Linked DNA regions of Elephas maximus indicus. The protein of the gene in region 1 purifies or fractionates together with the protein of each later gene. This does not show direct contact. Links are inferred from orthologs where the notes say so. Each region holds a gene or a part of one and is shown in the gene's direction. Other genes may lie near its edges.

Evidence for each region.
Region 2: the proteins of MMS19 (region 1) and BRIP1 purify together in Homo sapiens (affinity purification with western blotting; 3 studies listed by BioGRID and IntAct, with this or other methods). This does not show direct contact. The link is inferred for Elephas maximus indicus from reciprocal best matches to the Homo sapiens genes MMS19 and BRIP1.
Region 3: the proteins of MMS19 (region 1) and PRIM2 purify together in Homo sapiens (affinity purification with western blotting; 5 studies listed by BioGRID and IntAct, with this or other methods). This does not show direct contact. The link is inferred for Elephas maximus indicus from reciprocal best matches to the Homo sapiens genes MMS19 and PRIM2.
Region 4: the proteins of MMS19 (region 1) and PRIM1 purify together in Homo sapiens (affinity purification with western blotting; 3 studies listed by BioGRID and IntAct, with this or other methods). This does not show direct contact. The link is inferred for Elephas maximus indicus from reciprocal best matches to the Homo sapiens genes MMS19 and PRIM1.

The regions. Positions count from the first base shown.
Region 1 is NC_064834.1:49,246,426-49,254,118, reverse strand, and holds the start of MMS19 (MMS19 nucleotide excision repair protein homolog), read left to right. Parts: upstream 1-4,692; 5' UTR 4,693-4,737; coding exon 4,738-4,849; intron 4,850-7,693. Other genes in the region: UBTD1 (ubiquitin domain-containing protein 1), read right to left, coding at 3,813-3,882; translation initiation factor IF-2-like, read left to right, coding at 3,905-4,332, 4,428-4,668. UniProt on the Homo sapiens protein: Key component of the cytosolic iron-sulfur protein assembly (CIA) complex, a multiprotein complex that mediates the incorporation of iron-sulfur cluster into apoproteins specifically involved in DNA metabolism and genomic integrity.
Region 2 is NC_064837.1:33,843,775-33,851,036, reverse strand, and holds the start of BRIP1 (Fanconi anemia group J protein), read left to right. Parts: upstream 1-4,261; 5' UTR 4,262-4,305; intron 4,306-4,788; exon of another isoform or gene 4,789-4,874; intron 4,875-7,262. Other genes in the region: INTS2 (integrator complex subunit 2), read left to right, coding at 98-274, 387-556. UniProt on the Homo sapiens protein: DNA-dependent ATPase and 5'-3' DNA helicase required for the maintenance of chromosomal stability. Acts late in the Fanconi anemia pathway, after FANCD2 ubiquitination.
Region 3 is NC_064819.1:123,099,821-123,106,848, forward strand, and holds the start of PRIM2 (DNA primase large subunit), read left to right. Parts: upstream 1-4,017; 5' UTR 4,018-4,117; intron 4,118-4,976; 5' UTR 4,977-4,985; coding exon 4,986-5,139; intron 5,140-6,953; coding exon 6,954-7,028. UniProt on the Homo sapiens protein: Regulatory subunit of the DNA primase complex and component of the DNA polymerase alpha complex (also known as the alpha DNA polymerase-primase complex) which play an essential role in the initiation of DNA synthesis.
Region 4 is NC_064822.1:116,653,883-116,661,107, reverse strand, and holds the start of PRIM1 (DNA primase small subunit), read left to right. Parts: upstream 1-4,224; 5' UTR 4,225-4,339; coding exon 4,340-4,442; exon of another isoform or gene 4,443-4,461; intron 4,462-5,109; coding exon 5,110-5,267; intron 5,268-7,053; exon of another isoform or gene 7,054-7,225. UniProt on the Homo sapiens protein: Catalytic subunit of the DNA primase complex and component of the DNA polymerase alpha complex (also known as the alpha DNA polymerase-primase complex - primosome/replisome) which play an essential role in the initiation of DNA synthesis.

The DNA.
Region 1 (7,693 bases):
GCCGTCGAGTCAATTCTGACTCATAGTGACCCTATAGGACAGAGGAGAACCGCCCCATAGAGTTTCCAGGGAGCGCCTGGCAGATTTGAACTACTGACCCTTTGGCTAGCAGTCGTAGCACTTAACCACTACACCACCAGGGTTTCCTAAGTCTGGTTAGCTTTCTAAAATCAACAAATATTGATTGCTTCCTCTGTACTGGTCATTGTGCTAAGTGATGTGTGTGTGTGTGAGTGAGTGAGAGACAGAGACACACATGGATAAGAATAAGGTAGAACCCAGGTCTTCAAGGCTTGCCATGTAGTTGCTGATTTAAGAATGTAAACATTAAAGTCAGGACTAATGACATGGAGTAAGTAATTGTTAAGTGGCATAGATAATGCATCTGCAGGAGTTCTCAGAAGCAGCAATCACTTCTGCTGGGGGACGATGTCAGGGAAAGTGTTTCAAAGAAGATAATGGGACTTGAGCTGGGCCTTGACGTGAAGAAGGCTCTTGATAAGAAAGGGGAAATGGCACAAACTGGTGGTCTTAATATTAGGGAAGAGGAGAAAAAAAAAAAAAAAAAGGTCCTGAAAGGGCAAGACTTGAATAGCCCTGAAAGCCAAAGTTCTTGTAGACAGCAGGATGGTACACATTTTTGAAAACAGAATCATAGGGTTTGGAACAGGATAAATGAGTGACGTCCCTAGGGTTGGTGTCATCTAATGTGGTAACTCATGGTGTCATCCCCCGCAACCCACTGACCTCCTCCTGTACCAGACCATACAATAATGTTTTTTGTACTGTTAACTTGTAAATCGTAATTCCCGTGTATCACTCTTTCTTTTCCTTTAATTACTACTTCATTCTCAAAAAAATTATTGATATAAGTTCACGAATACTAACTACCACAATATTGTAGCTAAATCACCAGAAAATTTGACAAAATCAGCTACTATAGAAACAGTGGCAGCAACAAAAACAACAGCGCATGCCTGGAGCCTGTCCAGACTAAACCACGTGATTCAAAGCATCATTGTAATTGGGTAATGATGACAGTTCTGACTGGAGAGCATTAAAACAAACAAACCCATTGCTGTCAATTCCAACTCATAGAAACCCTATAGGACAGAGTATAACTGCCCCATAGGGTTGCCAAGGAGCAGCTGGTAGATTCGAACTTCTGACCTTTTGGTTAGAACCCGTAGCTTGCTGTAGCTCTCAAACACTGAGCCACCAGGGCTCCGGAGAGCATTAAACCCGTTGTCATCGAGTCGATTCCAACTCACAGCAACCCTATAGGACAGAGTATAACTGCCCCACAGGGTTTTCAAGGAGCAGCTGGTAGATTCGAACTTCTGACCTTTTGGTTAGAACCCGTAGCTTGCTGTAGCTCTTAACCACTGAGCCACCAGGGCTCCGGACAGCATTAAATCTGTTGCCATCGAGTCGATTCCAACTCACAGCAACCCTATAGGACAGAGTAGAACTGCCCCATAGAATTTCCAAAGAGCGCCTGGTGGATCTGAACTGCTGACCTTTTGGTTAGCAGCTGTAGCTCTTAACCACTATGCCACCAGGGTTTTCCCAGAGAGCATTAGAAGGTTCAAAAAGTAAATAAGCATAGAGTTTTAGCCTTGTAGGCACATTGATACATGTAAGCTGGGCTTACAAAAAATGTTTTTGTTGTTATATCTAACTACAGGAATATTTTTATTTAAAACAATATATTTCTGCTAAAACACTCCACAAAAACTTTATAGACAGTCATTTTGGTGTCACCCCTCTGACAGTGTCACCAGATGTGGTCTGCATCCCCTGAACCCCTCTAGTGACACCAGTGGATTAAATTAAACTCCTTCTGGGGGACGACAGTGTGCAAGTACTCTGCATTGAATGAATGATTGAAGATGAACTTGCCTTTGGTGGTGAGCCAATTTGAGACTGGAACTGGATTTGAGGTGACAAAGCCTTGAAGTAGAGTGGGAAGGAACAGGTCTATAAGTCCTGCTGAAGGAAGAACCAGTAGACTCCAGGGACTAGCTGGTTGGGAGGCAGAGAACATGGAGGCAGAGAAAATCAGCAGGGAGACAAGGTACAAACCTAGGCAGCTGGGAGAATATAAGAGTAAGGAAGGGAAGCCGACTGAGGGGGAGAGATGGCAGAACTTAGTTTAAAAGATGTTGAATCTCCCAGGATATCTAGAGGATATGAACGTCTTTTAGAGAGGTGGAAGTGGGGATTAAGAGAGAAGTAACAGTAGAAGGTAACAGCACAGGGATCTTCTCAGTGGATAAAGAGTTGTGGGACTGAATAAGATTTCTCTGGCAGGGAGTGTCATGAGAGAAAAAACAGAATGTCAAAGGAAGCCACGGGTATGCCCACCCCTAGGAAATACCTGGCGGGCAGGTTGATCAGAGAGGAAAACCAAGCCAGTCTAATGCTAAGAAGGAAGGAAGGAGAGTTGCAAGTAGGAGACGGCTGTCCACAGTGAAAAATGCTACAAAATCAATTAATAGGACAAGTACATAAATAATAAATATTTATTGAATGAATGAAGGGAGGAAGGAAGCCTTTGTTTCAGAGTCAACTTTCTCAGAAGAATGGCTAGGATTGCCTTCAGGTAAGAAGATTTTAAGTTTTACCCCATTCTTTCTATAAAAACACATTTCTTCCTCCTCAAGTCATCCTGTCCACCACACAGACATCCTTCCCTGCTTCTTCCATGTTTTCCCCCATCCTCCTTCCCAGTTTCCGCACCCCAAGCAACACACCTTTGGCGTCAAAGGAGACAGGAAACTCCAGCTGGAGTTTCCACTTCATTAACAACTTCCCCTGTGGTTCCTCTTATATAAATGTTATGTGGCAATTGGGTGGAGAGGAAACTGGGTTCTAGCCCTAGCTGTGCTACTAACACGCTGTGTGGCTTTGGGCTAGTTGCTCAACCTCTCTGGGTCTGGGCTTTTGGATATAGAGAGAAGACGGTAGGTCTATCTGGAATCCAGACATGTTTCTAAAGTCCCCTTCAGCTCTTAAGTCTACGATTTTATCATTCTCAGAAGGTCCTTGCAACACTCTTAGAGAAGGAAGTGAGTACAAGCCCTGGGGAAACGGCGGCCAGACCTCTTCCCGGGGCGAATTGCCAGGATAGGAGGGGTGTACTAAGAAAATGAGAAGGCGCTGCCTGGCCCTCGCGGATCATCAGCGAGCAGATCCCATTCTCAAGGCTGGGAAGGATCTCAACAAACCCGAGGGAGATTCTCACCCCTCTACCCCACATTTCCTAGACCCCAAGACGGCCAGGAGGTTTTAAAAAGCCCTGCGGGAAAATAAAGATTTCTTTCCCAGAGTCCTGCGCTGCTTTTGCAAGTCGGATTCTTGCAGACACGATCTGCAAGCCCGATAATGACACAGACAGTCTTTGGAAGGACTGACTGCTCTCGCCTCGCTCGCTCCGAGTTCTGGGGACGTCCGGCTGCCTGCGCCCGACGGGCAGTCGTCCGACCCCGGCCCGGGTGCCAGGCCAGCGGCGCCCTCGCCCCGGGCCCTCCCCTCCGTCGGCCCTGTGGCTGTCTGCAAACATTTCCTGCCCCCACCCCCACCAAGAGCTTCCCGGCTGGAGCGACTTGGTCTAGCAGTCGGGTCAGCGCTCGCAGTTTCCCCAACTCAGCTCCTCCGGCCACCCAGAGCTGGGGATGGCTCCCGAGCAGCCATCGGGGAAACCTGAGGCGCCAGGAGCCGTGGGTGGTCGCTCGAGACGCCGGGACTCTGGCAAGGAAGGGGGACAATTGGCACGGTGCCCGTGGCCCTGCTCCCTTCCCCGTCGTTACCTGCTCGCTTGCGGGGGTGTCCCGGGGCGGCCGGCCTCTCCCGGCGCTGTCTCCCCACGCAGTTGCCCATGCTGGCTCCTCAGCCAGGCCCCATGCACCGGGGGCGGCGGGGTGGGCGGCTGCTCCGCGCTCCTGCCTCGGACAGCGGCGTCCCGGGTCAACGGCTCCTGCCGCCCCGCATCGGGCGCTCCCCGGTCTCCCCCCCGGGGGCGCGCTCTGCCCAGCGCCGGCTTCGCCACAAACTTTGCGGGCGAGGGGAGAGAGGGAGGTGGCCGACTCCCCAGCACGGCCCCAGGTGGCCGGGCCAGGGGGGTCCGCGACGGTGCCCGGCCGGAGACCAGCTCCGCCGGAGGGGCGGAGAGAGGGGGCGGGCACCACCGCAGCTACTCCGGGCTCGCTCAGGGCTCCCAGCTGAGGCCGTCCCCCCGGAGCCTGTCACTCACCTGCCTAACCCCGCCCCAGCCCGGCCCCGCTCCCTTCCGCCGGCCCGCGGTGCGGGTGATGCCACCGCCCGCCCCAGGTGCGCATGTGACCGACGGCACCGCCCCCTCGGGCCGGGCCTGATTTTCTCATTGGCTTCTCGCGGGGTGCGTACCGCCCCCGGGGCCCACCCAGCCAGGTGCCCGCCCCATCTCCAGTCCCCTGGGAGCCAGGCAGGGAGTCTTTCGGCCTCAATGGCCCCCGCCTGGGTGCCCAGCAGCCGCTTTCCCACCCCGCACCACCGCCCCGACCCCAGGCCCCGCCCCTTAAGGAGGGCTGTCCCAGCCCTCCTTGGACCTGCCCGGCAAGGAGCCGGCAGGCACGTGACCCCGGGAGCGCCCCGCCCCTCCACCTTAGCCCGGTGATTGGCTCATGAGGCACATGCGCGAAAAGATCCGTTTCCTCCCACCGCCTACTTCCCCTCCCACGGTCCCTAGTTCGCGTCATGGCCGCCGCCGCCGCTCTGGAGGCGGTGGCGCCTACGGGCGCCCTGTGGGGCCTCGTGCACGACTTCGTCATGGGTCAGCAGGAGGGTCCCGCTGACCAGGTCGCTGCAGGTACGGCAGATGGCGCCGCGCGGCTTCCGCATGGGGCCAGCAGAAGGGAGCGGCCTCAACACAGGCGCCGGGCGGGAAGGGAGTGAGGAACAGAGGTGACTGTGAAAGACTGGTACCGAGGCTGGGTGGGGAGCACCGCGTGCTTAAAAGCTGTAACAAAACTGACAGTCTCCTGCATCTTCTTTACGCTCCTCGTTTTCCCGGCGGGCGGGATTAGGGTAATCATTACCATTTTACAGATGAGAAAACTGAGGCCTAGCTAGAGGAAGAGACCTGTGCAGGGCCACGGGTTAGGCAGGTGGGGCAGCTGGGACTGGCACCTGGGTCTTCCAGTTCAGAATCAGGTGCTTACGCCACGAAAGCACGTTGTCTCTGGGAGGTTGACGTGAGAGGATGCTCCCACCGCTGCCTCAGCTCCAGTCGCGTGGGATCTTGGGAGCGGCCGGGCGGTGCCATCTCTGACTGGCTGTAATTGGAAAGGGGAGGAGAGAAGCCCGGCTAAGGGGGAGCTTGACATGTTCACAGTACCCGCAGTTTCTTGGTACAGTTCTTGGTTAATTTGGTTCACGACTTTTTTACGTGGTTTTTGTTTTTTACCTAGATGTCCGGTTTCCTGCATTTGACCCATTCAGGGATCTCTTAGTTCTGACAGCTTATCTAAGATTTGAATAAAACAAATTAGAGGAATTTTGGGAAACCCTGGTGGTCTAGTAGTTAAGTGCTATAGCTGCTAACCAAAATGTCGGCAGTTCGAATCCACCAGGCGCTCCTTGGAAACTCTAAGGGGCAGTTCTACTCTGTCCTATAGGGTCGCTATGAGTCGGAATCGACTCAACTGTAACGGTTTTGATTTGGAATTTTGAGACTGCTCTTTTAGAAAATGTATGTACGGAAAAATTATGAAATATTAGGAGGGCTTCAGATTTCGGGTTTAAGTAATAGAATACAAACTAATCACGTGAGTACAGATGAGTTTGTAACGTTTTTAAAGTCTTTGGAAATCTTGCATGTTTGCGGGAGAGTAAAGGACATTAACGTTCTCTTGAAAACTGAACATACTAACTTTTAGAATATGTGGGAAGCGAATAAAGTGCATCTGCTAGAAAGAGTATTTTGTTTGATCCTTAGCAATATTCCACTTTCATTCAAACAGTCCACCATTTTTGAGCACATATTATTAACCGAACATTATGCAAAGCAATAAGAATATAAATATAAATTAGATTCGTGCCATTCAGGAACTCATATTGTGGTGGGAGGGACATCATGTAAATAGAGTAAGTGCAGTAGACATGAAAAGGGGCATAAGAAGTATGTTCATGTACCACGGAAGCAGCAAAACCCATTACCGTCGAGTCGATTCCAACTCATAGCAACCCTGTAGGACAGAGTAGAATTGCCCCATCGGGTTTCCAAGGAGTGCCTGGTAGATTTGAGCTGCCAGCCTTTTGGGTAGCATCGATAGCTTTTAAGCAGTACGCCACCAGGGTTTCCATGGGAGCGTGACCAGAAACCCAGTGCCCTCGAAATGGAAGCGTGAGGGAGCAAGTAAATGCCCGGTGCTGCCATTCCGCTAAGTGTGTTAGTGCTTACAACATTTTAACATGTACAGTGTGTTATCAATGCCATTTTTTCCAGTGTTTCATTTATGAATTTTTTTCAAACATACAGCAAAGTCTAGAGATTTTTATAAAGAACAGACATATCCCACTGCCTGGAGCTACCATTAACATTTTAATATACTTGCTTTATCATGTAACTGCCCATCTATTTTAACTGCAGATATAAATAACACTTCCCCTAAGTACTTCAGTATGCATATCATTAGAGTTCAGTATTTGTTTGCAGTATCTTTTTCTTTTACTCATTTCAACAAATACCACTTCCCCTAAGTACTTCAGTATGCATATCATTAGAGTTCAGTATTTGTTTGCAGTATCTTTTTCTTTTACTCATTTCAACAAATACGTATACTTGTATAATCCAGAATCCTACACTGTAAAGATAAAGAACATTACTGTGTCAGTGTCATTTTTAACTCTTTTTTCACATTTATACATTATGGAAACAATTTTTGATTTTTTCAGATTCAGAGCACACTTTGAGAAGACAGCTTGATAAGAACTGTCAAGTTATCATAAACATGTTCGTAAAACTTACCTTTTTGTTTATGCCTGAAAAATGGCTTAAACTATTATCTAGTTTAAATTTAGCTCACCTAAGATTCTGTAGGTCGACGTTCAACCATTTCAGGAGGTACCATATGAGCAGGAACCGATGGTACTGACGGAAGAAGTCCAAACTGCACTGAAGGCATTGGCAAAAAACAAGGCTCCAGGAGTTGACGGAATACCAATTGAGATGTTGCAACAAACGGATGCAGCCCTGGAAGTGCTAACTCATCTATGCCAAAAAATTTGGAAGACAGCTACCTGGTCAACCGACTGGAAGAGATCTATATTTATGCCTAGTCCCAAGAAAGGTGATCCCACCAAATGCGGAAATTATCAAATAGTATCATTAATATCACACACAAGTAAAACTTTGCTGAAGATCATTCAAAAGCTGCTGCAGCAGTATATCGACAGGGAACTGCCAGAAATTCAAGCGGGATTCAGAAGAGGGGGCGGGACCAGGGATATTATTGCTGATGTCAGCTGAATCGTAGCTGAAAGGAGAGAATACCAGAAAGATGTTTACCTGTCTTTTATTGCCTATGCAAAGGCATTTGACTGTGTGGATCATAACAAATTATGGATAACCTTGCAAAGAATGGGAATTCCAGGATGCTTGATTGTGCTCATGAGGAACCTGTACATAGATCAAGGGGGTATTGTGTGGTTT
Region 2 (7,262 bases), on another chromosome or scaffold:
TCCTCAGCACAGAGCATGGTGCTTAGTATATTGTATATATATCTGTATATATAGATATCTGTAAAGTAAAAAATTCTGTTTCACTTCTTTCCAACAGTTTTAACACAAGCCAAGCGATACGCTTTTTTCATGCCAACTCTGCCAAGTTTGGTTTCTTTCTGTCGAGCATTTCCTCCATTGTATGAGGATATTATGTCTTTGTTGATCCAAATAGGGCAAGTCTGTGCCTCTGATGTGGCCACTCAGACAAGAGACATCGATCCAATTATTACACGTAAGTAGTAACTTCTTCTCAAGAGTTAGCTTAATATCTCAAAAAAAAAAAAAGGGCCAAAATCATTTCCAGATTTCTTGCCTTAATTTATTTTTCTTTCCTATGTTTTTAGGTCTTCAACAAATAAAGGAGAAACCAAGTGGATGGTCTGGACTCTGTAAAGATCCATCTTATAAAAATGGATCTAGAGACACTGGAAGCATGGATCCTGATGTGCAGCTCTGTCATTGTATTGAAAGCACAATAATTGAAATAATAAACATGAGTGTTAGTGGAATTTAAAAAAAAAATTAAAGCAAAAAATGAAGCTGTTGCATATACCCACATGAGTCTGCATCTTGTAACAAATGTTAAACTGGATGGGAATAGTAGTATCTTGGAATCACTAAAATGATTCCATTCAACATGAATAGAACTCTCTGAGAATTATGCTTGCCTGTATATGACTGACAGTTCTTTGGATCTAGTTTGCTGGTATGTTTATACTGTAGCAGCTGAACTTTCTTTTTTTTTACCCCCCTTGGGAGCACATTTAAGAAACTCATTACAGCAAAGTGAATCTGGCATGTTTAGATTTAGAAGTGAAGAAAGACTTCCATGCCTTTAATTTGATTTCTTATAAAAATGAGTCTTTGGGTAGCCCTAGTGTTTATTTTAACTTTCAGCTTCTAACAGAGTGCTACAATGCTGCAGTGATGGCAGGGAGAAGGGATCAAGGGAAGGGAGAATTCAGGAAAAACTAGGAGTTAAACACCCAAATGGAAGTCTCCAAGACTTTCAGTGCAAGTTATAGTAATGCAAGATGGAATTCCAATTCTCAATAAACAGTGTTGAGAAGGCTTTAAAGAAGGCAAATAATTTTTATAATGATTTTCATGGAATTACAGATGAGAACTTAAAGATTTTACATATTTGCTTCAAGTTTACTAATATATGAAGCCATAGGTTTAAGGAGATACTTGAATAATTTGGGATTTTAAGAATCATCTTTGTGCAAAGAACCTGAAAGATCTCATTTAGTTTTTTTTTTTTTAATTATTTTTATAATGATTAACTTATCTAATGTTCAGAGAGGGAAAATAAACAATTTAGAGCAATAAAACTCATTGGATTAAAGAGCTCTTGGTTTGTCATTAGGATTATAATTCATATCTTACTTTGATAAGGTCTTTGAGTAGGAAAATATATATAGTGTTGAACCTCAGGAAAAATTAAAATATGGAAAATACCGTCTTGCCAATAGATTTTGCAGTCCTCTGCTGGTAACTTCTATTGATTAAGTAGAGGTATTCAGGTAACCTATAATCCTCATTTAAAAAAAAAATTAGGTGTCCAGTGTTTCAGGTACTTTGCTTTCTGAGAAATACCTTAATGACCCCCCCCCCCAAAAAAAACCAAATCTCTTCACTGTTTTGAAAATAACAGTAAGTAAGTAAGTTGGGCAGGTAATAAGAAAATGTGGTTTTTAGGAAAACAAATTTAACTTCAACCTTAAACTAGTGAATAGTAACATCTTACTTGACTCCATTGTAAATAGGATCACTACTGGCCCTACCTCATAAGGGTGTTATATAAGAACTAGTTTGTAGCTGTTTCAAATCATGAAGTATCATACATGACAGAATATTTATAGCTTTTAGTAGATGTTTAATGTTCAATTAACTAATTTTTATGGGAAAAATAAAAGCATACACTTAAAAAACACCATAAGACTTTTCATATTTTTAAACAAAGCAGTTTTGTAGTCCCTTAAGGTTAAATAAAACTGCTCCTTTTTTCTTTTTTTTTAAACTGGGGCCTTGGAATATTCTGTGTGAGTAGGTGTCCTCTAGGAGTTCAAAACAGGTTGAAGTATGTTTTCTAACTAAATGCAGTGCACATTCCTGGATCAACTTTCCAAGACTGGTCAAAACCAGCTGTGTTAAAATAGTAACATATCCTGTTTTTCTTCAGATTTGTTGATGTAAAAATATGTAAATATGTTAGTAAATGTTAATATTCATGTATTTTAAGTTAAGGTTATAAAATTTGTCATAATGTGATTTTTTTATTCAAGTGAAAACAGATGTGTGCAGCTATTTTGAATATTGATTTATAAACATTCATATTCTTTATCAATGAACTTGTAATTTTGTTGTGTTTAATTCCACTACTGTTAACCTGAAAGCACAGTTCAAGGGACCGGCATCTAGGACTGTCTGCCTTCAGAGCCTATGTGTATTCTTTCCGTTATGCCACATACATTAAATGGCAATACCAGGTTAAAGCCAGTTGACAGCCTTAGGAATTTAGGAAAGGAAAATTATAGTAGTTACCTGGAATAGTTATTTAAAGGATTTGATGTATAAAAAATTTATGAAAGCAGAGAAGGTATTTTAATGGATTATAAATCAATGGCATTATTCTTCCACTGGCCTAACGGTAAACTACATTTTTGTACTTTCCATTCATCTTTGTTTATGCATACATATTTTCACATAACTAAATTCCTAATGCCCAGTTTAGAGTCTGCTTTTTTCCATTTAACTTTACATGGAATTTTTCCCTACAAGTTGTTTAGCTTTTATAATTACTGGCTTTATAATCTATTGAGTTCATAATCACAATCATCTCACCATCACTATTCTGGGAAGTTTATCTTTTTTTTTCAGCATTACAAATATGCATTACTATCAACTGAGGTATGAACACTTTTAGGTTACTTTAGAATAAATTTCTGGGACTGAGATTATTAGGTGAAAGGATAGAACTTATTTTTATGACTACAAGTTTTGACGTTTTGAGAAGATGTAGAAAAAAACTAAGACAAACAGATCAACTTGCCTTCTTCTCATCCCTTGCTCCAGGAACCTTCCCCTCCTCAAACTCTAGTTACTTAAATTTGAGAGGCTGTGTCAGGTTCTGTTTTTGTGGGGCACCAGTGTTTGAACATCATAGCGACCCTATAGGACAGAGTAGAACTGCCTCATAGAGTTTCCAAGGAGGGCCTGGCGGATTCTAAACGCTGACCCTTTGGTTAGCAGCCCTAGCACTTAACCACTACGCCACCAAGGTTTCCTTTTTAGTTTTTGTTGGTTTAGTATTTGAACATGTTTGGTAGAGGGTCAGTGAAAAAGGGAGACCCTCAAGGAGTTGGAGTGACACAGTGGCTGCAACAAGGGGTTCAAACATTGATTGCGAAGATGGTGCAGGACCGGGCAGTGTTACGTTCTGTTGTACACAGGCTCCCTGTGAGGCGCAACCGACTCCAGAGCAGCTAACGACAGTATTTGCCCTCAGTTTAGGTTGTACAAAAAATACTTTTTAAAAATAAGCATCATTTGGCGAGATCATGATTATCCTCGTCTTTGTATACGTCTTGGCAAAGAAAAAACTGGTCTCCGGAGGGGTAGAAGGTGGGTAAGCCACAGTGGAGGTAGAAGGAATCCGGGACTGGAGACGTCGAGAGCGTGCCCCCAGCGGAATCTGGCCATCGGGAAAAGCCTCGGAGACTTAAGGCTTGAATACTGTAGCCAGTTGTCTTAGAACCGTTTCGCCTAATTTGCCTCACAGTCTTTGATACTCCAGCTACTGTCAAGTTCGGAAATTTAAACTGAGTGGCACTAACGAATGCTCAGAGAACTCGGCAAGGCGTTTCCTTTTCGTTGCTCTACAAACTTTAAGAGTGAGATTTCGGGTTTCCAAGGAAGCTGGTGCCGGGGTGAAATCACCGATTTCAAAAGTCAAGCGGAGAAAGCGCTTTCCCTTCAAAGCCCAAATATCTGCGGCTGCAGCTCACTTTTCTACTGATTTACCTTCCGGTGCCGCCAAGTATCTTGGGGCTCTTCTTATCTCGGAGGCGTGGATTGGGTGTTCAGCGCGCCCGCCGACTATTTTTGCGCCAGGATTGGTCGCTTGATTTCCGCTCTAGATGGGTGATTGGCTGTCAACTCGCTCGGCGATTGGGTGCTGGGAGTCGAGGGGTGGGAGGCGGGAATTCTTCGGAAACGGTGTTGCTGAGGGGGTTTCACAAGACTTGGAGCGGAGAAAAGGTAAAGCCGCCCCGAATCCGGGATGAGGAGAGGGGAGTAGCGACCCCTGAGGAAGGGGGAGAGTGGAGGCTTGTGTCCTTTCGTCTCTGCCAGGGCTCCGCATGATTTGCTCTCAGAAATCGGCGTCCTTTTCTCCCGTGCATCAGTATTGCTTCGGTTTTCCTCAGGACCGCCAAGCCTGTCTGTCCGAGGGGGGGCGCCAAGCCTGCCGGGGGGGGTGCCTTCTGTTTTTGCCCAAGTCCCTTTGCAGGCCCATCGGTGTTGACTGGATCACCTGGTCCTTGGGGATCACAACTGCCTGTGAGAGGAGGGAAGCGTGGGGAAGAAAACCTGGGTAGAAGGGGACCCCTTCCCTGCCGCCCTGGAGCGGTGATTAGCCCGGGTTTCCGTGTTACCTCTTGGCGGGAGGGGGCGCCAGGAGGCGGTCGGTTCGTTTGCCCTTTCTGCAATGTTGCGGGGAGAGCTACCCGTGTACGAGATGCGCGTTGCCACAGCTGGGCTGGGATGGATAGATTTCTAGGTTAAAGCTGAGTTACTACGGTGGCCTTGAGTTGTTGGTTCGCACTGAGGTTAGTATTCCACCAAATCCCGTTCTTAGAGCTTTATAGAAAGAATCACAAAACTTTAGAAATGGAAAGTACTTTAGTAGAATACTGGTTCTTAACTTTCGGAACAACACAAGCTGTGATTAGGTTTATTACTGGCTTCATAATCTGTTGTATTGCTGTATTATAATTTAACCATCACTCCACCCCTAGATTGAAGTTACCATTTTTTCGCTACTGCAAAATAATTCCTCAATTGATAACATTTTCAGCTTTTGTTTTCTCTATTTTCAGTTATTTCCTTAAGATATATTTATGGAAGTGAGAAATCTATGGACTTTCTCCTCAGAAGAGTGCAATCATGCACAGAAATTTCTGCATGCAATTTCAAGAGGTCACAGTTTCTGAATTACCCATAGAGATCCGAGGTTAAAAACAGTGGTTAGAGGAGGCGGCATTAAAGTGAATACTTTCTCTGTGTCAGATACTGGATTAGGCACATTCTGTACATTATTTAATTCTTAACTCAGTACTTGACTAAATATTATTAATATACATGAAAACCTTATCAGGTAGTTAGTATTATTGCCATCTTACAGATGAATAAACAGGCTCAAGAGAGGTTAACTGTGTAACATAGTGGAATTCAGATTTAGGTCTGCCTTGCTCCAGAGCCCATCCTCTTTCCACCATACCTTAAACCAAAAACCAAACCCACTGCCGTGGAGTCCATTCCGACTCATAGCGACTCCATAGGACAGAGTAGAACTGCCCCATAGAGTTTCCAAGGAGCGCCTGGCAAATTTGAACTGCCAGGCTTTTGGTTATCAGTCGTAGCACTGTACCTTACCTTACTGACCTTTAAATAAGAATTATTGAGCACCCTCTATGTTCCAAGGCACTTTCTTCCTTACAGCAACTTTTAAATTAAAGATTATTACAATGAAGGGTCTCAGTACAGAGAAGTGAAAAGACATCTGAGTTGCTGTCAGACCTGACCTAGAATCTAAACTTCCCGACTGCTGGTCCACAGCTTTTTCCTTCTAACCAGAAGACTGCAGAAAGGAAAAACAGAAAGGGACAGAATAGGAGGAGAAAAAGAGTGGTGCTATGGAGTTGGAAAGATCAGGAATCTCTCTCTATAGATCGATTATATCTGATCAAATTTGTAATAAGAGCGCATGTTTAATTGGGTACCTAATGTCCTTTTAGCACATTATTTCATTTAATCTTTGTAACAATCCTATGAACCAAAAAAAAAAAAAACCAAACCCATTGCCATCGAGTCGATTCTGACTCATAGTGATCCTATAGGACAGAGTAGAACTGCCCCATATGGTTTCCAAGGAGCCGACCTTTTGGTTAGCAGCCATAGCACTTAACAACTGTACCACCAGTTGTTTCCACAATCCTATAAGGTAGATGCTATTACTGTCCTTATTTTACGGATGAGAACACCAAGGCCTAGGGAAGTAACTCGCCCAAGGTCATACCACTAATACATGGCGGAGCAGGGATGCAAAGCCAGACTTGTCAGACTACAAGGCCCGTGTTCTCCAACGCTGTGATTTTATGTTTGTTATTTCCTGTTGTGTTGGCTCTGACTCATGGCACCATTGTGTACGACAGAACAAAAAGTTGCCAAGTTTTGGGACATGTTCCTGATTGTTGGTGTGTTTGAGTCCATTTGTGGCTATTGTGTAGTGCTTTCCAGCTTGAAGGGCTCATCTGCCTGTACTATGTAAGACAATGTTCTGTTACGTGTGTTAGTTATCTAGTGCTGGTGTAACAGAAATACCACAAGTGGTGGCTTTAACAATGGAAGTTTATTTTCTCACAGTTTAGGAGACTAGAAGTTGAAATTCAGGGTGCTAGGTATAGGGGAAGGCGTTCTGTCTCTGTTGGCTTTGGAGGAAGGTCCTTGTCTCTTTGAGCTTCTGCTTCTAGGTGATCTTTGTGTGGCTTAGCATCTCTCTTCCCCCAATATCTCTTCTCTCACTTCCTTGTTTAATTTCTTTTATATCTAAAAAGAGATTGATTTAAGATACACCCCACACTAATCCTTTCTCATTAACATAATAAAGGCAACTCATTCCCAAATGGGATTATAACCACAGGTATAGAAGTAAGGATTTACAACACACATTTTTGGGAGACACACTTCAATCCATAATGTATTTTCATTGGCTGATTTTCAGAAAGAAATTGCCAGGCCTGTCTCCTTGGTCTGTCTTAGTCTGGAAGCTCTGCTGAAACCTGTCCACCATGGGTGACTCTGCTGGTATTTGAAGTACTGGTAGTATGGCTTCCAGCATCATAGCAACACTCAAGCCACTACAGTATAACAAACTGACAGAAACTCTTTTGCTTCTATTTGTTTTGTTTATATATTTGTTAATTCCAGTTTTTATT
Region 3 (7,028 bases), on another chromosome or scaffold:
ATGAGGAGATGGCAAAATTCAAAGTCATCTGTCATCAGTAAGTGCTGGACACCATTTGAATGCCCTGTCTCAGCTCAGAGGTCTTGTCAAGCTGGTCCCCATTGCTGTTTTGAGACCACACTTGGAGAAGGGTAATATTTAATAAGTTTGGATACCTCAGGTGTAGGTCCTACTTCTTCAGGCAAATCCTGCAAGGTCATTTAAATTTTCTTAAGGTCTGCATTCCAGGTTTGTTCAGGCAGCTCATATCAGGGCTTGGAACTGGTTCTTCCCAGTTCAATCATGGCTGAGGAAGCCACACTGGAACAGACTCGAATTTTAAAAATTTGTGTGAACCAGAACCATAACCAGAATGGGAAAAATTACTGGTTGAAGCCCTGCTAGAAAGCTAACGTCTTTCTTAGAAAGCAAGGGCAGTGTGTGCAATGTGTAGCAACCAAATCTCTTGCCTGTTCTTCCATTTTGCAAAACTGTGTTCCTCCTCAAAGATCTCAAAGATCTGGTGGTCCTACCATGCTGCTTTGGATGTGAGTTGCTCTCCTCAGTCCTGGCAATAATCCAATTTTATGTATCAGGCTCCTGAAATTGCTCACTATACCACCTGTGAGTCTCCCCTTCCAGGGTTTTGACGCATAATTTTTCCTGTCCCGGTTATGGTTCTGAGTCACCCAAATTGTAAAATTCAGGTGTCCTCTAGCTTTGTTTCGTCAGCTATGATTGAGTCAGTTCAAAGTCCAGGCTCACACGCTTTCAGTTGTCTTCTTTGGACCAGTTGGTGTTACTTATGTGTCTGATACAGATAGGAAGGAATGAAGGTGAGGTTCTGCTGTCATATTAATGGAATTATTATAGTGTGATGGTTAGTACTGCAGTCCTGGGGATCAGCCTTCCTGGCTTCTAACCTGGCTCTGTCACTTACTATGGGACCTTTCAAAGTTACTTAACTTCTCTTTCTTTTGTTTCCTTATCAGTAAAAAAAAAAAATATATATATATATATGTATACATATAAAAATATGTAGACATTTTGGTAAAATGGTTTTTTTAAAATTAGTTTTTATTGTGCTTTAAGTGAAAGTATACAAATCAGGTCAGTCTCTCATACAAATATGTACATACACCTTGCTATACACTCCTAATTGCTCTCCCTCTGATGAGATAGCACAGTACGTCCCTCCACTCTCTCTCATTGTGTCCATTCGGGTAGCTTCTGGCCACCTCTGCCCTCTCATCTCCTCTCCAGACAAGAGAGGCTAACATAGTCTCATGTGTTGACTTGATCCAAGAAGCTTGATCTTCACTGGTGTCATTTTCCATCCCTTATTCCCGTCCAATCTCTGTCTGAAGAGTTGGCTTTGGGAATGGTTCCTGCCCTGGGGTAACAGAAGGTTTGGGGTTCATGGCCTCTGGGGTCCCTCCAGTCCCAGTCTGACCATTAAATCTGGCCTTTTTATGAGAATTTGGGGTCTGCATCCCACTGCTCTCCTGCTCCCTCAGGGTTTCTCTGTTGAGTTCCCTGTCAAGGCAGTCATCTGTTATGGCCAGGTACCATCTAGCTCTTCTGGTCTCAGGCTGATGTAGTCTCTGGTTTATGTGGTCCTTTTTTGTCTCTTAGGCTCATAACTATTTTGTGTCTTTGGTGTTCTTCATTCTTCCTTGTTCCAGGTGGGTTGAGACCAATCGATGCATATTAGATGGCCGTTTGCTAGCGTACAAGACCACAGACGCCACTCTCCAAATCGGGATGCAGAATGTTTTCTTAATACATTTTATTATGCCAATTGACTTAGATGTCCCCTGAAATCATGGTCCTCAAACCCCCACCCCTGCTACACTGGCCTTTGAAGTGTTCGGTTTATTAAGGAAACTTCTTTGTTTTTGGTTTAGTCCATTTGTGTTGACCTCTCCTAAAATGAAACTTATGTACTATCTAATTAATGAATACCCCTCTCCCTCTCTCCCACCCTCCCCCCCCATAACCATCAAAGAGTATTTTCTTCTCTGCTTAAACTGTTTCTCCAGTTCTTATAATAGTGGTCTTATTCAATATTTGTCCTTTGCAATTGACTGATTCAGCTCAGCATAATGTCTTCCAGATTTCTCTGTGTTATGAAATGTTTCATGGATTCAACATTGTTCTTTATCGATGCGAAGTATTCCATTGTGTGAATATACCATGGTTTATTTATCCATTCATCCGTTGATGGGCACCTTGGTTGCTTCCAACTTTTTGCTATCATAAACAGTGCTGCAATGAACATGGGTGTGCACATATCTGTTCATGTAAAGGCTCTTATTTCTCTAGGATATATTCCAAGGAGTGGGATTACTGGATTGTATGGTAGTTCTATTTCTAGCTTTTTAAGGAAGTGCCACATTGATTTCCAAAGTGGTTGTACCATTTTACATTCCCACCAACAGTGTATAAGTGTTCCAGTCTCTCCATCAACCTCTCCAACACTGATTATTTTGTTTTTAGGATTAATGCCAGCCTTGTTGGAGTGAGACGGAATCTCATTGTAGTTTTTATTTGCATTTCTCTAATGGCTAATGATCGAGAGCATTTCCTCATGTATCTGTTAGTCACCTAATGTTTTCTTTAGTGAACTTTTTTAATTGGGTTATTTGTCTTTTTGGGGTTGAGTTTTAGCAGAATCATGTAGATTTTAGAGATCAGGTGCTAAAATGGTTTTGATAATAGAACCCACCTCATAACATTATAAGAATAAAATGAAGTGATGGGTAAAATCACTTAGAATAGGTCCTGTACAAAGCACTGTCATATGCAGTTAGGTCCATGCTCCATAGGTGCTTTGAAGCCTGATATTGTTTCAATATATTCCACATTTCTAAGGACTCAAACATTTCAAAGCACTCTTCACCCCCAAGGACTTAACCAGAGCCTTCCTCTACCACTTTTGTAAATGAGACAGCCTTCTAGAGGCCACCAGTGAAGTTTATTTCCAGCTTTTGAATATCCTACTGATAGTAGCCAGAGAGCTAGGCGTGGGTCTGATGCGCAGCTTCTGAGGCTGCAGTGTGAGATTCAGAAAGTTCATGGTGAATCCAGTTTCTTCCTGGCACTTGCCACTTCTTTGATCCTGTCTTCTCTCCTAGCCTGATCTATCTCAATTTTTGTAGACCCAGAGCGATTTCTGCACGTGTGCATTTATTCAATCGTTTTAGTTCATTCCACGGGTGTTTTGTTGGGCGCTTAACTATGTGCGAGGCACTGTGGGGAAAACTAAAGGTGAACTGAAAGTGGAACCTGCCCCTATGGGGCTTGCCGCCCAATAGAAAAAATATGTACTGTACATCGATGGGCAAACTAACGATTATTTTTTAGCTTCAGTTTTCTCATGTGCAAAATGGGGTAATATGAACTACTTTATAGGGCCGCTGAAAGACTAAATGGGAAAAAAATACAACCCCTAGAAGCAGAAACACTGGAGGCCTACTGGTTAAGAACTACAGCTGCTAACTTAAAGGTCAGCAGTTCGAATCCACTAGACCCTTCCTGGAAACTCTGAGGTGGTTCTACTCTGCCCTATAGGGTCGCTGAGTCCTAATCCACTGGACGGTAAGCGGTTTAATTTTTTTTTTTTGTGAGTTGGCTGCAAAAAAGCAGCTCAGTAAATGCCCCTTTTTCCTCCACTCTTCTCCCAGATTGAAAGTGATGAATGCCATAACTGCTTGTTAGAGCACATTTTCCTTAATTTATGCAATCTTTGTGAGTGTCCAAACGAAGTTATATTGGTTCATTCTTTAGCGTGTAGTAGTTTTGCCTTTAGTATTCTCTCAGCCTAGTTTCAATTGTTAAAAGCTACCAACTCCGCATGCATGAAGTGCGCCTTAAAATTTGGGAACCTCCCCGCCTCCAAATCTTCAAATACACTCGTACTTAAAAAACTTTGAGCTTTCAAAGCTGACCAAACAGCTTCAGCTCCCAGAAGCACCGCACTGAGCATGCGCAAAGCCCACGCTGAGCGGGCGGGACCTTTGGGGGCGGGCCTTGTGTACCAGTTGTTTCCGCTTCCGGCTCCATACGAACTCTCCCGCCACCAGGGAAGGAATAAGTGTCAGCGTTTGTGTATTTCTCATGCTTGCTGTGGTTTCAGGTAAGAGAAACTCCTGCGTATTGTAGAACGGAGAGCAATCCTGGTGCTGAGGCTTGCAAGTCAAGGGGAAAAGGGGAGCACTTTGCGGGCGGTGGGAGCAGAAGGACTGATCGGTCGGGAATGGGGGTTTTGGTGGTTGGTTTGTGGCAGAGACGCGGGCACCGGTGAGGGTTGAGTGGAGATGGCTTCGCTGAGGTGGTAGGGGATCGGAGTGGGAACATAAAGGAACTTGTGGAGGCTCCCTCTTAAAAAAAAAAAAATTAGGGGCGGATTAACCAGTAAGCAAGGTACGCCCAGGCTTGCTTTTGTTTACTTGCTAATCTGTAGTGCACGATTTCACCACATCTTTGATGTGAAAAAGGTGAAATTGTGCACTACAGATTAGTACGTAAGCACTGGTAAGCCCGTGTGTACCTTGCTGATTGGGTAGTGGGGAGCCTCCACAAATCCCTAAAAGGATTTTCAAAAGACAGTTTTATTTCTCGAGGTCATACGATGGGGAAGTAATTGTACCTGGTTCATCAAGTCATTTTTCTGAGTTCGGGACTGCAGCACATGTACAACCTCACCTCTTGAGACTTATAAGGTGGTGGCACGTAGACCAGTTGTCAGCAGGCACTGTCACATGACATTCATGTTGCTGGAAGTTAGGATCACCAGGCTGAATCTCCCTCACCTTCCCCCCCTTTCACCCCATCACAAAATTATCACAGTTGTAGAAAAATCTGGAAAATACAGCAAAACATCACTGAGGGATACCCACTATTAACATTTTGTGCATGCTCTTCAACTTCAGACTTTTTTCTGTGCATGTGGGATTATTTTGTTTCTTGTAACTTTTTATGTGCTTCTTTCCAAGGTAACCAAGATGGAGTTTTCTGGAGGAAATCGGAGGAAGCTGAAGTTGGCAGGTGACCAGAGAAATGCTTGCTACCCTCATAGCCTCCAGTTTTACCTCCAGCCGCCATCTGAAAACATATCTTTGATAGAGTTTGAAAACTTGGCTATTGATAGAGTTAAATGTGAGTAATATTTAAATTAGAATTCATATTTTCTTCAGAAGCTCACTTACGTTTTATGGGAATGAAGTTTTTTCCCCTTTTCAGCAGTTCATTCAGAAGATATTTACTGAGGATTTGCTATTCATTCATTGTACTGTACAGTGCTTATTTACTGAGTGCATGTTTTAGATGGCAGAGATTTTGAGATGAATACTATAATTCCCATCTTCATTGAAGCTGTATCCTTGTACATGGAGACAGACATCCAAAATAATAATCATAATTCAAAATTTTAAATACTCCAGTAGAGATAAATAGTAGTGCTAACAGTTCTTGAAGCACAGAGTTGGGAATGACTGACTTAGTCTGATTATCTGTGCTTCTTAGAGAAGTTGAAATGTGATCTGGACCTTGAAAGATGAGTAGAAATTTCCTAACAGAGAGGAAATTAAGGGTTTTTCCAAGCTGCGGTAACAGCCTGTACAAGTGTTTAGAGGCATGAAAGAGAATGTAATATTTGAGGGAACAGCGACAATTTCAGGGTAGATGAAGAAGTATGAATAATGGTGGTATCTTGTGCCATGCTCTTGTATAATATTGCGGTGTAAGAAGGATGCAGCATGGATGAAAGGAGTGAGTTAGGCAGGAACTGAGGCAGAAATACTAGTACTATCTTCATACTTATGTCCCATCATATCTTTGTGGGAAAATCCAAAGGAGAGGTGAGATACTGGTAATCATTCTTGGAGGAGTAGGATGAGAACTGCTAGTATAGAGAGAGGCGCACTCAGTACCTGTTTATTGAATTAAAGAGTGAAGGCGTGGAAGAAAAGCGTTTTAGGAAGGAAGTGTAACAGAGCCAGATGCTTCATAGGGATTAAAATGATTGAAAAGCGTTCCTTGGGTTTGGCACTTAAGAGGTGAGATGGTAAGCGCCTGAACTAATGTACTGACAATGACAGTGATAGGGAGAGATTTAGGGATACTTTCTGAGTTATGACTGGTAGGATTTAGTGACAGTTTGGATGTAAACAGTGAGGGAGCAGGTGGGAGGTGGCTGAAGTTCCTACCTGAATGATCTGGTGGATAGAGACTCTGCTTATATGAAAATGGGGAATGCAAGAGGAGGAGGAAGATTGAGGGGAAGATAATTTGGTTTGAGACAATTAGGAGTTGCCTATGGGACGTGAGTTCATGTACAGAAGGCAAGGTTTTCGTTCTTGAATTAAAAAAAAATCCTATTGAGGGAAGTAGAATTCATTTGGGGAAAATGGACAAGGGGCTTTAGGAGGAACCTTTGACTAGTAGGTGACATTTATTCAGAATTGTTCTTTTGGGTGATTGGCTGGCCTTGCGTCTTCACTGTTGTGTCTGCTTCTTCTCTGCATAAGAAAAGAAAGGATTTTATTTTTTGGTCTCTTGTAAGTAAACGAAACAGACCCCTAATAGACAGCTCCACATGAAGGATGTAAACAGTGGTGCTTAAGCTCCTTTCTCTCTTGATATACCTGAAGAGTACATTCCTTTCCTTATCAACAGTGGCTTAGTATTGCAGTGATTATCCACCATTCCTCCCTTTTCCCTGGTTGAAAAGACATGGTATTAGATAATGCTGGATGCTGTGGGACATGGATAATTTCTGCAAGTAGACCGAGATTATCCTTCTACAAGCGTATATAATTTATATAACATACTTGCAGAAAATAAAACTGCTACAGTGTCCTTTATAAACAAGCAATTGTGGAACTGCTAAAGGATCCTAGATTTTATTTGTTTTGGATTATTATTTTTTTAATTATCTTCCCTTGATGTCCTTTTTCTCTTTCTTTTTTTAGTGCTAAAGTCTGTTGAAAATCTTGGTTTGAGCCATTTGAAAGGAAGTGAGGAATACCAGAGTAAGTTAGAGGCTG
Region 4 (7,225 bases), on another chromosome or scaffold:
CTGGGTTATTTTTGGTTTTTGGTGTGGAAATCATGGGAACAGGTGCACTCAATATCTGGGTCCGTTTATTCCAGTAAAAGGATAACCTGTGCAGGATGACAAGTGATTTCTTAACTGAAATAACTCTGTTCTGGCAGGAGCTCTGAGCCAGAGGTGGCCATGAGAAAGTAAGCTTACCAGTTTGCAGAAATCAAGGAGATGACACCGGACATGTTCCAAATTGTGGACTGGGAGCCTGGGCCAATCTTATCCAAGGCATAAGGAACATGTTGATGCCAACAGACGTTTGGGTTACAAATGCATCCATAACACTTCACTGCACTTTTTGATTTGTGTCTATTGCTCTGACTAGACTATAACGTTCTTGGGAGCAGAAAGCATCTCATCATTAAATTTTTCTCCCAAGAGCCTGGCAAAGTGCCCACATATGTTTATAAACTATTTGTGCAGTAAATAGATGACTTAAAGAGTGGCTGAATGAGCCATACTTTTATTGAAGAGATCATCCTTCTAGATGCTAAAAACACCCAGAATAACAGGTGGAGCTGAACTGGAAGGGAAGTCCATTAGGTAGGTGTCCAAATCTGCAAAGAACTTGGAGAGACAGACCTGGGACTGATAGATATTACAAAAACGCTAAAGAGGATGGTAAAGCCAGATAGTACAAGGCTTGAAGGAGAAAGGACTTTTGCACCTAGGTGGCCTAGAAATCCCAATGGGAAACAAACTGAATGCCAATACTGCCTCCTGGTGGCGTCTGGGATAAACGCCTCTATGCCGGAACACAAGGAACCTTGGTAAGCACTCAGCTGCTAACTGAAAGATCAGCAGTTCAAACCCACCAGGTGCTCCATGGGAGAAAGATGTGGCAGTCTGCTTGCATAAATATTACTACCTGGGAAGCCCTATGGGGCAGTTCTACTCTGTCCTACAGGGCCGCTATGAGTCAAAATCAACACAACAGCAAAAAATCATGACAGAACACCTTTAAGGAATAAATAGCCTTCTCACATTGAGTGGCTCTGAGTCATGGACTGTGCCAGACACTCCTTTAACTCTCATAACAACCCCATGCAGACTCAGCATGTAGCTTAGGGGTTAAACGCACAGGCTCTGGAGCCAGGCTGTCTGGCTCCCCACTTACTAGCTGTGACCTTGGACAAATTAAGTTTTCTATGCTTATTTCCTCATCTGTAAAAGAGAAATAATACTAACACCTACCACATAGATTCTTATAAGGAATAAATTCTTAAAATGGTACCTGATGGCATAGTAAGTGCTATATAAATATTAAATATATATATAAATATTAGCTATTATTATTCCCTTTTTCCTGATGAGAAAACTAATGTTAAACAAACCAAGCATATAGCAGGAACTCAATAAATATAACTTCCTTTCCCTTCTCCCCTTATGTCTTAGCTCCTTACTTAAGATATTGTCCTCCTTAGCAACCCTGGAATTTAAATAGGGGACTCCTGAAGAGCCTAAAGAAGTCAGTTCCTAAAGGTAGCAACAAGGAAGATGAGAAATTTCCATTTGATGGGAAGCTGAGAAATCTCCATTTAAAAGTCCAGTGCGCATCGCAGCACTGTTCACAATTGTCAAAAGATGGAAATAACCTAAATATCCATCAAGAGATGAATGGATAAACAAAATGTGATCCACACATACAATGGAATATTATTCTGCCACAAAGAGAAATGAAGTCCTTATACATGCTACAACACGGATGAAACCTAAGAACATTATGCTGAATTAAATAAGTCCATGACAAAAGGACAAATATTGTTTGAGTCCACTTACATGACACAGGCAAACGCACAGAGACTGCAGCGCAATGGATCACTTTCATATGGCCTTTCTCACCATGGTCTTGTATCTCCCACCCAAGTAACTGGGTGAGAGTATACAAATAAGGTAATTGTGGCCCACCAAGAGGATTGGATAGCTTGCTAATAATGCAAATAAAGTTCATGGCACCCCTGTGCAGGTGGGACCATGCAAATGAGGTCTATGGAAAACTAACAAAAGGACTGGTCAGTTTTGCCATCCCACTAGCCTTAAGATGAGCCATCCCAGAGGCAGGAGGAGAGGATCTCACCACTGCTAAGAAGAGCCAGGAGTGGAGCACATCCTGTGGACCTGGGATCCCTATGCTAAGAAGCTCCTGGAATCAGACCAAGAAAAAGAGAAAGAGAAAGCTGTAACATGAAGATGGCGAGAAGTGGCAGCAGAGAAACAAAGGCAGGAGTTGGCACAGTAGGCTTTCCAGGCCTACGGAGCAAGAAAGCTTAGTGCCTTTGAGCAGGAGTCTTGCTGGCAAAGTTGGGTGCTTCCTTTGTGACCCACGGAGCTAGAGGTGAGCCTTCCAGCAGGGGCTTACTGGCAGAGTGGTGTGCCTCGGGGCACTTATCAGCAGAGCTGAAAGTTTTGTAACACTTGCCCAAGCAGGGTAGAGCCTAAGGGGCCAAAAGAACTTTATAATGCTTGCCCAAGCAGGGCAGTGGGCAAGGGGCCAGAGAGAGGCAGGCATGGCTGGGAAGAGGCTGTCCTGATCGAAGAACTGTATCCTAAGCATTCCTGAACCTGAATTGTAACCTGTCACTTCCCTAATAAACCCATAATCCTGAGCATTGTCAATGAATTATAGAACTCAGCAAAGAAGTAGGGAGTGCCATGGGAGGGACAGTTGGTGTGAGAATTGATGAAGAGGGTGGAGGGTGGAGGCATGTGTGACCTCCACCTCACAGGAATCAGCCCTGGGCTGTTGATCATGATTCTCCTTCCTCCTTGTGAAATCAGAGGTTAGACGCCGCCCCCATGCCATTTTTAGAGAGATTGAAACCCTGGTGGCATAGTGATTAAGAGTTCAGCTGCTAACCAAAAGGTCGGCAGTTCAAATCCACTAGGCAGGTGCTCCTTGGAAACCCAATGGGGCAGTTCTACTCTGTCCTATAGGGTCGCTGTGAGTTGGAATCTGACTTGACGGCAACAGGTTTTTTTTGGTGGTTACCAAGGGTAGGAGGCAGGAGAGAGGGGAAGTCTTGGCTTAGGGGGCACTGAGTTTCTGTTAATCGTGGTGGAATAATCTGGAAATGGATCATGGTGCTGGTTGCACATGATAGAATGTAATCAGTATCACCAAACTGTACATGTAAAAAATTTTGAATTGATAAATGTTCTGTTATACAGTAAAATCTACGAAAGCCAGAACTTGTATAAGGTGAAAACCTGTCAGCAAAGGAAAACTCAAATACTTTCCACTAAAATGAGAGAGAGAAAAGTGGTAAGACTGCACCCTGTCAGAGACGGAAAAGTTGCAAGACCCGGAAAAACAAGGCAATCCCATTGAGTTCGGGTTCTCACAGGTTTCATAATTAAAGAATAAAAACAGTCCAAGGTGGATGTGGTTCCAGAAAGACCACTCTGCAAAGCATTCCTATTACTACTGGAAAAGTGAAGACCCTAAAGGCTCTGAAATTGACCCTACCCAAAACAGGATGCATAGGGGCTGTGAAAATTAACAATCAAGATTTGTGCAGGAAGCCAGATTTCTGGCAACATTAAAAAATATGATCTGCCCAGAGCCCACTGCAGACTAACTTGCCCACAGAAGCTGGGGGGTGATGATCATTTTCAAGATTAGGCTAATAAATCCATTTACGAAAGACTCTATTCTCTCCTGACTTTCCTACTATTACTGTGAAAATAATATTAATAATAATGGTTTTCAAGTGACAAGATACTCAACTAGATTATCAGGCTGCCCACCGCAACCCACATTTGCAATGAGATGTATCTTTTATTCAGTAGGGCTGATTGGCGTAACTGCCACATCAGTAGCAAACCGACTCTTTTCATACCCGTAAAGCTCACCATGATTCTGCAGGCTTCTCTAATTCATATTTTAGCGTTCCTGGGTGTTCTACTGAATTCAGCAATTCTTTGAAATATTAAAAGAACTAACTTCCAAACTCTCTTTAAAAAATGTCTGCATCGTTCGTTTTTTCTGAAACATTCATAAAGTTAGAACGGAATATCTTTATTACTCCACTTTAATAACCTAAGTCGATAAACCAAAAGTCTCACCTTTCAGAGACGTTCTTCCGGGAACGGACACTGTTTCCGCCCACGTGAACGGTGCTGTAGTGTCTGCGCGCCTGCGCCGAGCCCCTCGACTGGCCCATTCCCGAAGTAGAAACTACAAATTCCGGCGGTCCAGTCAGCCAGCAGGGCCCAGCGCGCCTGCGCAGTGACGGAAGCTTCGGCTGTACTTTTTTTTTACAGTTCCCGCCAATTCTTGGGGTAGTCGTGCTCTGGCATAATTCCGTGCCCCATGGAGGTGTTTGACCCTGCCGATCTGCCCGAACTGCTTAAGATTTATTACCGGAGGCTCTTTCCCTATGCCCAATACTACCGCTGGCTCAACTATGGCGGAGGTGATGCTGCGGAGAGCGGGTGGGTAGTGGGTTGGGAGGGCAGTGTAAGAAGGTTCTTGGCGGGATGTTCTCGGAATGACAATATGAAGTACCTCCTGCGAGCTAGGCATTGTGCCGGGCGCCTTGGTGCATTATCTTGAGCCCTCCTCACCTCCTCTGAGGCGGAAGGGGGCCGAGAGAGGCTACACTGATCAGCCTACGGACACACAGTGAAAGGCATAGCCGCTGCTCCTCCTCCTACGCGGTCAGGCTCACTTTAGGTGTCCAGTTGACCTGCCGCGGTGCCTAAGCAAGGGGGTTACTGGGTTGTAGCATGAAGGTACAGAGTCGTGATCTGTATCAGAGACAGAAGAGCGTCTCTGGGAGGAGGAGAAGTACTATCCTCTTGGCAGCTGATTTAATTTATTAATGCCTACCGGGGCGTTAGATTTTTAACATTTCTGCATTTTTTCTGCTCACTTTACTTTTCCCTAACAGTTGCGGAAGGATACATCCCTTCAAATGAGGTACTCTCTCTTGTCCCTTTTTTTTTTTTCCCTTTCTTTTTTACATCTAGTATAGTGTTGGGCACGGGGCTCACTAACTGTATTCTCATTTCTCAAATGCCATAATGCCCTGAACTGAGTAAGGTACCAAATTAGCTTTAAAATGTAAATTTCTTTTGCAGTGATAAAGAATTACTTTCAACACCGTGAATTTTCATTCACATTGAAAGATGATATTTACATTCGCTACCAATCCTTCAACAACCAGAGTGAGCTGGAAAAAGAGATGCAGAAAATGAATCCATACAAGATTGATATAGGTGCAGTATATTCCCACAGAGTAAGAAATCATTTTTATGTATTGTTTTATTTTCAAACCAAGGATGGGTTGGTGCCCCAGCCTTTGATATAAATTTTTAGAGTTTATTCAAGTTGAGGACCCATAATGTTTACTTAACTGCTTTTGCAGGTAGACTGGTAATCTTCTTTGTTTTTTGACATTCTACATTACTGACTGGAAATCGTTTGGGAGCGAATTGGTTACATTCCCACTAGGACAAAAAAATTTAGTATCTGGCTAAAAGACTAAATGAGGACGTCAACGTGGTTTAAGGGAGAGAGTAAAAAGTATTATATTCTCTTCCAGCATTGGTGTTATTCTTGACTCCTCTCTTTCTCTCACACTCCCACATTCTTTGCCTTAGGAAATCCCTTTGGCCCTACCATAATATATATCTATAACCCAACTACTGCTACCATCATTCTGTCTCACCTGTATTACTATAAAACCTAACAGTTTGCCTCTCCAGACCCTAAAATCTACTCTCAACACAGCAGCCAGAGTGATCCTCTTAAAACAAGTCAGATTCTGTGATCCTTCTGCTCAAAACCATTCTCCAGTGGCTCCCTATTTCACTGAGTGAAAAGCCGTTCTCTCCCTCTTACTCCACTACAGCTACACTGGCTCTTGCTCAAGCTGTCTCCACTGCCCAGAACACATTTCTCTAGATATCTGCTTGGCTCATTTCCTCACCTTCAAGTCTTTGCTCAAAGAGCACATTTTCAATGAGATCTGCTGCAACCTGCCACTCCTCCCACCCCCTGCCACTGACCTATCCTAGAATTGCCTAGAATAGTGGGTACCCCATAAATATTTGTCGAATACATGAATAAATCAGAATTGCTCTTCCCTTCTTTAAAAATACACACATGGGATGATAACTTTTGTATGGAGCTTTTTCGTATGCTGCTTAACTTGTTCCTCATATCAATCTTAATCTTTTTGCAGAGGAGAAAATGGGCCCAGGGAACTTAGTTTGCCCAAGGTCCCACAGTTTCTAAAAGATAGAGCTGGGACTTGAAGCCAGATTTTCTGACTCTAAATCCCAGGTTTGTCTCCCACCTGCAGAGTAAGGGGAAAAGAAGAGATAAGGAAAGGCAGGCAGCAAAAATGCTTCAGAACAGTTTACTGAAGAATAAAACTGAAGTCTCAAAAGAAGGGCCAGGATGCCATTCTGCTTCCTTGTCCCACTGAAGGAGGAAAAAAAAGTATCATTTTCTTATTGTGCCGAGAGAGGCATTTATAGACCTTTGTGTATGTGTTTTGTAAGGAGCCCTTGTGGCACTGTGGTTACGTGCTCAGCTGCTAACCAAAAGGTCAGCGGTTCAAACATACCAGCCATTCCACAAGATGTGACAGTCTGCTTCAGTGAAGATTTACAGCCTTGGCAACCCTATGGGGAAGTTCTACTTTGTCCTACAGAGTTGCTAATAGTCGGAATTGACTTGATGGCAGTGGGTTTGGTTTGGTCTTTGGTATGTGTTTTGTGATTTTTATCAGTTATATATGCCAATAGTTTATAGAATCAAGTAGTTCTATAGGCATTTTGAAAAAGTCTCCCACCTTTACCATCAGCTTCTGCTCCCCAGAGGCAACCACTTTATTTTAGCTGATTCTTATTTGCCTCATGTCTCTAAATAACATTGCTTATATTTCTTTCATTTTTCCATTTTAAGCATTATATATTGACTGTCCATCCTGGCAGATGAGGATTTAGCTTTCTTTCACCTCACCCTCTACCCTCACCACACACAAAACCTTCCCATGCCTAATTTATTATGCTCCTAATGTAAATTTTATTACTTTAAAATTTAGATTATAAATTCAACCCCAGACTCTTTGCCAGTTGTCTTCATCTCCCAATATATTCAGATCCATCAGGTAGTCTGTCAGTTTCATCTTGAAAACATTTCTCCTGGAGATTTCTGACCTCTCCAGTCTGGACTGATTACTGTTTA